Cricetulus griseus: one gene and its partner. The protein of the gene in region 2 purifies or fractionates together with the protein of the main gene of each other region. This does not show direct contact. Links are inferred from orthologs where the notes say so. Each region holds a gene or a part of one and is shown on either strand. Other genes may lie near its edges.

The links.
Region 1: the proteins of Champ1 (region 2) and Cbx5 purify together in Homo sapiens (affinity purification with mass spectrometry; 6 studies listed by BioGRID and IntAct, with this or other methods). This does not show direct contact. The link is inferred for Cricetulus griseus from reciprocal best matches to the Homo sapiens genes CHAMP1 and CBX5.

What each region holds. Positions count from the first base shown.
Region 1 is NC_048595.1:399,592,023-399,595,674, forward strand, and holds part of Cbx5 (chromobox protein homolog 5), read right to left. Parts: intron 2,533-3,652; 5' UTR 2,491-2,532; coding exon 2,354-2,490; intron 1-2,353. UniProt on the Homo sapiens protein: Component of heterochromatin that recognizes and binds histone H3 tails methylated at 'Lys-9' (H3K9me), leading to epigenetic repression. In contrast, it is excluded from chromatin when 'Tyr-41' of histone H3 is phosphorylated (H3Y41ph).
Region 2 is NW_023276807.1:67,009,550-67,013,876, forward strand, and holds the start of Champ1 (chromosome alignment-maintaining phosphoprotein 1), read right to left. Parts: upstream 2,893-4,327; 5' UTR 2,756-2,892; exon of another isoform or gene 2,733-2,755; intron 1-2,732. UniProt on the Homo sapiens protein: Required for proper alignment of chromosomes at metaphase and their accurate segregation during mitosis. Involved in the maintenance of spindle microtubules attachment to the kinetochore during sister chromatid biorientation.

The DNA.
Region 1 (3,652 bases), on a different chromosome or scaffold from region 2:
GAGGCAGGAGATGGATCTCTGTGAGTTAGAGGCCAGCCTGGTCTACAGAGCAAATTGCAGGACAGGCTCCAAAGCAATACAGAGAAACCCTGTCTGGAAGCAAAAAAAAAAAACAAAAAACAAAAAACAAAGCAGCACTCTGGTATAACAGATGCTAAATAATCTGTTATGCATGAATCAACTTACCTAAAATGCCCAGTACTCCATAAGAATAATGTTAAATCATGAAAGGAAATAACTTTCAATAGATCCTGAAGGGACCTAACTTTAAAGTACTGGCAAAACATTGACTATTTTAGCAAATTTACTTCTACCTGTTGTTTTTTATTGCATTTTGTTTTTGTTTGCTTTTTGTGGTAATGAGGATTAAAACCCAGCCAGGTGGTAGCAAACACCTTCAATCCCCAGCACTAGGGAGGCAAAGGCAGGCAGATCTCTGAGTTCCAGGCCAGTCTGGTCTACAGAGCTAGTTCCAGGACAGCCAAGGACCGTGAAACTCTGACTCGAAAACAAAAACAAACAAACAAAATACCAAACCAAACCAAAAATCCAAGAGAACAAAACCCAATTCCTCATATACACTAGGCAAACACTCCACTACTGAGCTATATATCTTCTGCTAAAGATAAAGTTGTGATGTCAGGCTGTGAAAATGGCTCAGTAGGTAAATACACTTCCTATCCAAGCCTGAAGACCAGAGTTCAGTCCCTGGAACTAAAAAGCTGGATGTGCTGGTCTTCCTACTGCAAGATGCGGGGGCAAAGACAGAACTGGCTGAAAGCTAGCCTCAGATATCCTGCTCACAACCAAAACAAGAGACTTTGACTCACACAAGAAAGTGAAAGTGACCTGCCCCTTAGAAATTAAAAATTTAAACAAACAAAAAAGCACTTATATTGAAATGCTAGTTATAAACTGGGCATAGTAGTACAATGCTTTCAGCACTAACCTGGACCTCACAGAGATCCACTTGACTCAGAGAGCTGGGATTAAAGCCTTGGCTTCTTTTCATAAATCGTTTATTATATATGCACATGTGTATCTATTAAGTGTATATTCCTGTTTGTCTGCATGAGTGTGGGTGTGTATGACTGGAAGTCTGAGACCACCTCAGTTGTAGGTCCCCACCTTCTAAACTTATTCACTGCGAGGTATGCCAGGCTAGTTACCCCTCAGGCTTCCAGGGATTCTCTTGTTTCAGTCTCAATCTCAGTGTGGGACCACAGGGAGAGATGCATGTGCCTAACTCTGCATGGGTTCTAGTATCTAAATTCAAATGCTCACACTTGCCATAACAAGTGGTCTACTCACACTCATTGAGACCTCTAAGTACTATGTATGTCTTATCTCTGTCTTTGTCTGTTTCTTTTCTTTTCTTTTTCTGGCATACCTGAGAATCAAACCAGAACCCTGAGTATGCTAGGTGAAAGCACTTTACCATTAAACTACACCCACCTCTTGTCCCTATTTTATTAAAGGGGAAAAAATGAAAAGATTATAAAATTAAACAATGGACCGAAGAAATAGCTCAGTATTTAAGAGCACTGCCTGCTCTCCCAGAGAACCATGGTTTGGCTCCCAAAACTCACATGGCCACTCACAACCATATGCAACTCCTGTTCCAGCTGATCTGATGCGCTCTCTGCACTGTGGGCACCAGACAACACAAATGCAGTATACAGATATACATGCAGGTAAAAGACTCACACACACACACACACACAAAAAAAAAAAAAAAAAAATTTATGTGTGTTTTCGGAGACAGGGTTTCTCTGTGTAGCCCTGACAGTCCCGGAACACTATCTTTAGACCAGTCTGGCCTCAAACCCATGCCCCCCCCTTTCTGGGAATAAAGGTGTGTATCATCACCCAGCCCAGCAAGAAAATATTTTTTTTTCTTTTCTTTTTCTTTTTGGTTTCAAAACAGCATTTCACTGTATAACACCCCTAGCTGGCCTGGAATTAGCTCTGTAGACCAGGTTGGCCTCAAACTCACAGAGATCTGCCTGTCTCCCAAGTGCTGGGATTAAAGGTGTACGCCACCAACCAGCTAAGAATTTTTTAAATAACAAAAATAAAAGAAATTAGCCAAGTTCATCCACCTATATCTTAAAGGGTGGAACAAGAATCTGGTCCCAGACTATCTGGCTCCCAAATTTGTGTTCCCAACCAATTTCTTAAATTACCCCTCAAATATAAGATTATTAAAACATCAGCTCCACAATGGGAGACTATTGTGGTCTATTGACTCTCTTGATTTTTATGAAAGTGTATAAATGGGAAAAAGACAGTGGCTCTGGGTAAATTTTTCTACCTCTACAGAGTCCTAATGCCTGAAAAAGAAAGCACTTACTCAGAAAAGCCTTTCCACTTCAACAGATACTCCACTTGCCCCTTAACCATGCGTCTGTCTAACACCTTTTCCACCACATACTCCTCCTCATCCTCGGAAGAAGAACTGTCAGCTGTCCTCTTGGTTTTCTTTCCCATGTCGCACGCTGATCCACCTGAAGGACTAAGGCCACCAGGTTCCTGAAAAGGGATAAAGATAAAACGGTTACAATCCGTGAGGGTTATAACTGCCACTTCTTGATGGAACAGAGGGTACAATACTAGTCAGTCTCATACCCTTCTTTTTGGTCTACAATTATTCTAAGACAGGGCTACAGATTTAATTTTAAAATGGGTCAATCCACATTTCCCTAACAACAACTTCTCTTCAGTTGAAGAGATCAAATTAGATGACACATTCCTTTAATTTTAATATTCAAAAAACCAAGTAGCATGACATGCTACTCATGACCATTTCTGCATCTACTTGTGAGCCAGGAACTCAAAGGAAAATGTGGAAAACCTTCAATTAAAGGAACCAAAAAATAAAAATCCTTTTCCTCTGAGGCGAATACATGTTTTTATAAAAATGAAGAAAAAGAAAAAAAGAAACCTTCCCCCACAAAACACCCAAAAGTAACTTTTCCATACTCTGAGCATTTTGGTCAGTCTCTTCTCAGCGTGTACGTGTACATACACACACACACACACACACACACACACACACACACACACACACACACACACGGCAGTTAACCATCTCTCACCACATTTCTAGTGACTTGGTACATTTCCCTTAAACAACTTGAGTCTGTCCCTTTAGCATGTCCATCAGCTCACAAAAACAAGGCTGACAGCTCAAAAACACTAAGCCTCCTTTTTAGCAAGCTCATTTGGGAATAGAAGGGAAAGGGGGCAGAGGGAAAAAAATTCAAAATTAGTCATTGGACTAGTCTGTAATTCCCAGGGCTCGACTAACCCAAACAGTTATGGAGGTACCTTGCCTCTTCACTGAAGTTGACTTTGGGCCAAAGGAAGAGGAGGGGAAAGAAGTCTGGCCCCAGATTCTGAATCAACATGAAGCCTCCTCAGAACACAGAGGACTATTCATCTCCCAGGAAAGCCAGGACAAGGCAGCACAAATGGAAATTAGGCTCAGAAATATGCAGTCAGAGGTGCTCAACAGAGAATCTAGTTTTAAAAATTCCCACACTGCTGAACCATAATCGTTTTAAAAGAATTCTTCCTTAATCATGTTAAATGGTACCCACAGTCTGGATTATCAAATAGCAGGAATCAATCTCAGCTGACTCCGCTGTTA
Region 2 (4,327 bases):
GATAATACAGAAAAGCTTTACTTTTTGAAAAATTTATGTATCTGAGTACTTTGCTTACATTTATGTCTGTGCACTGCATGTGTACCTGGTACCCACAGAGGTCAGAAGAGTGCATCGGAACTAGGGCTACAGACAGTTGTGAGCTACCCTGTGGGTGCTGAGAATCAAACCTGGGTTTTCTGCAAGAAGAAGTTTTCTTAATCATTGAACCAGCTTCCCAGCCCCAGAAAAGTTTTATAAAATGCTTTATCATGAATTGGAACTGAAGGCACCAGCTCCCCGTTTCAGCAGCCATAGCAGCCGAACACCTTGCTTTGGTCACTAGGAGGTTAGGTGACTGCCTCGTGGCAGCAAACCAATCAGAAGTTAGCTGGTGGTGCCATGCTTTACGGCTCTGGGTGTGCTTTACGGACAAGTGCACAACAATGACACGCAGAGCAACCACCCTGGGAGAGCCTATCGGCCATAACAACCAGTTGACCAATCAACACAGGGCAAACCCTCCAAGCCTGGAGCCACACCAATCCTGAGCCTGTGCATACCCCTTGACACTCCCCTTACGCTGCCCTATAAGATCTCTATGCAGAGTCTTCGAGCTGTCTTTCCTAGCCATCCGCCATGGTGGGTGGATGAAAGACCAGCGTTAAACAACTACAATAAAGCCTCCTGCAGTTTGCATCAAACTTTCGACTCCATCTGGTGATTGGGGTGGCCAAGTTCCTGGACAGAGGTCCTGGGGGCCTGAGTTCCCGGGGGTCTTTCAGAACCAGGTGTTTTGTCGAGTAGTACAATGAGAAATTAGCAATCAATACAGGACCAAAATGACCTAGAGGACTTGGGCCCAACTTCTTCATTTCTCAGAGAAAAAAGCTGAGAAAGGAACTCCATCTTTTTAATTTTGTTAGCATTCTTAAGGGCTTTTTAAATGAAAAAAATTGTTTACCTTCAATACATTCTGATCGTGATTTGCCTTCCCCAACTCCTCACAGATCCTCCCCACCAACTCAACTCCATACCCTTTCTTGAGAGAAAGTAACTCTTAAAAGGCCCGATTCCGAATCTTTGCTAACAATGCCCACAGACTAGAGCGTAGATTCCAGCACTGCCAACACTAACTGCAAAAATAACCCACTAAAGCCGGGTGTTGGTGGCGCACGTCTTTGATCCCAGCACTCGGGAGGCAGAGGCACAGTAGTCTTCTATACAATGGTACATTATAAGGTATCTGTCTCACATCTACCCCACACACTTTCTTCCTTGAGACCAAATACTATTTGATAGTTGGGTCTTTTTTTTTTTTTTTTTTAAAAAAGACAAGGCCTTTCTGCATAGCTCTGCTGTCCTGGAACTCACTATGTTAAACCAGGCTGAATCTGCTTCTCGAGTGCTGGGGATTAAAGGTGTATGCCATCATGCCCAGCCTTATTGATCATCTTTTAAAAATACATTTTGGGGGCTGGAGAGATGGCTCAGAGGTTAAGAACACTGGCTGCTCTCCGAGAGGTACTGAGTTCAATTCCCAGCAAGCACATGGTGGCTCACAACCATCTATAATGGGATCTGATGCCCTCTTCTAGCATAAAGTCGATAAAACATAGCCATAAAATAAATAAGTAAATCTTTAATAATGCATCTTGATATTGAAAGTTTAACAATGAACACGTGTAAGCTGACTGGCTGTCGACACCCTGGGGAAAGGGAGCCTCAGATGAAGAGATGTCTATCTGATTGGTTTATAGACAAGAAAATGTGGGGCATTTTCTTGATTTTCAATAGATATAGGAAGTACCATCCCTTTGCTGGATCAGAAAGAGAGCAGAACTGAGGCTGGGAGCAAGCCAGTAAATAGTTTCACTCTGTGTTTTCTGCTTGAGTCCCTGCCCTTAATTCCCTCAACAGACTACCACCTGTAAGATGAACTCTTTCATCTCCCAAATTATTTTTGATCACACATACTATGTAACACTGTTCTTTATGAATAGCTGTTTTTTTTTTTAAGGTTATAAATTTTTGACTGGTTTTGTGTTTAAAAGAAAAACGAACAGAAACCACAAAGAACTCCCACGTTCCTACATATTTTTTCCGACTCTATTAACAATTTGCGTTAATTAGTGGGGTAATTTGTAACGGCTGATACTTTTTGTTCCCTAGTGCCGGGATGGAACCCAAGGCCTCACTCTTGCTAAGCAAGGGCTCAACCAGCGAGCCGCAACCCCAGCCTAATTTAGGACGTCCACGGTTTACAGGCGAGGCCGCTCTTGATGCTCCAGAGCGATTTGCGCATCACCTGTGCTCCATTGAGGTCCTCAGAGTAACTTCACTGCTCCGAGTTCCTGACAAGCACGATTGGTTTACCTGGGGGGCACCGAGCGACCTTAAGTTTAAAAGAGAGGCAACGCTGGGCTGGTCCCAATTTACACTCCGCGGAAAGTGCCAAAGGGTTGGCCCTTACTCGGAAACACCGGGCTGGGCTCCCGGGACAAGGCTAACCCCGTCGGTAGTCCACGTGGGGGTGTGGCTTCTGCTGAGGGTCACCGGTCCTTGGGGAGTCTGGAGAGCAGCTTTACAGCAAATTCGAGACCCACATTGGCCCCTCCAACCCCGGCCGGCCATCGAGGCGGCAAGCAGGAGGAGCCCACGGTACGCTCCGGCCTCCAGGCCGCGCCGAGAGCACCAAGGCGCCCGCTCGCCCTCACCAAGGCGCCCGCCCTCCCGCCTTCAGCAGCCCGTACCGAGGCGCCCGCCAGCTCCTCACCCTCGGGCGAGGTTCTTGGAGTGAAGAAGAGGAAACGCCCACATGAAACGCCGGCCGGCCGCACGGCCTCGGGAATGGCGGCTGGACCGAAGACCAGCCGGGAAGTATCGCGCGCTCGCACCGGAAGTGCCTTCGCGTGCCTCCGGGTCTCTCCCTCCCCCGGCCCCTAAGGTTCCCCAGCTGGGCAGAGCTGGGGGACGCAAGCGGTTCTACCCCTGGCGTGGGGTTCCTGTCTCCACGCCTTCTTTCCTTTTTTTTTTTTCCCCTCCTCCTTTTGTCTTTTGTTCCTTCTGCTGAAGGACGCATTCGTTGGCATATTGTCTTTAATAGAAATGCAAAATAAATACAAAGCTTTTAGAAGACAGTGAACAGGTTTCTTGTCTCCAAATTCAAATTCCAGAAATCGTCTTCATTTGCAGTTGCAATGAATTCGCCTTTACATTACTTAGTACACCTATGTAATTTCTTTTTTTTCTTTTTTCTTTCTTTTTTTTTTTGCTTTGGTTTCTTGTGTTTTGGTTTTGGCTAGAAATGAACCCAGTGCTTCCTCATTTAAGCACCCCATGCTGTCTAATACATAAAACATTCGTGGCTTTTGATTGGTTGGTTTGCTTTTCTTAAGACAGGGTATCTCCCAATGTAGTCTGAGATTCACCTGTCTCCGCCTTCCAGGTGCTGGACTCAAAAGCACTTACTTGCAACCACACGATCCCCTAAACCACTTTTGAGAATCCACTACTGACTACACTGAGTCATTATCCAAGGGTCGGCTGAATTCTTGGTCTTCTTTTTTTTTGGAGACAGGGTTTCTCTGTGGCTTTGGAGGCTGTCCTGAACTAGCTCTTGTAGATTAGGCTGGTCTCGAACTCACAGAGATCTGCCTGCCTCTGCCTCCAGAGCGCTGGGATTAAAGGTGTGTGCCAACACCGCCTGACTCACCACCACCTCCTTCTGTTGTGGCTCTCTGCATGTTTGGAATCAGCTCTTGTCAATCATTGGAGTTGGGAGATCTTGGAGAAGCTAGTAGAGAAGAAGAAGGGCTACTTGGCAACTCAGGGAAGTGAGATTCTGGAGAACCCAGGAAACCTATGGGTAGGGCACAGCAGGATCTATCAGAAGCAGAGAAGCAAATTTGGGAGAACTACGTGGTGAAAAGGAGCAGAACCTACCAAGTGGTACTGTGTACTGTTCCTTGTTAGGATACAGAAATGCAACTGATTTTGTGACCCTATATCCTGCTACTTTGCTAATTTATTTTATTAGCTCCTGAGAGTTTTGTGTGTGCATGTTTGGAATCTTCAGGAACATGTAAAATCATAAAACCTGAACACAGAGGCTTTTTAAATTTTGAATTCAATGTTCCTTGACGTCCTGGTTTGCTTCTTTGTTGCTTCGATAAAACACTAACCAAAAACAAGTTGGGGAAGGGTTTGTAAGATACTGAGGAAAGGCAATGAAGGAACTTAAGGCAGGAACTTGGAGTAAGCAGAGACCATGGGGAAATTCCTAGGATTGCTCTACTACCTTCTTTACACAACTCAGACCCACATGCCCAGGAATGGAACAGCCCAC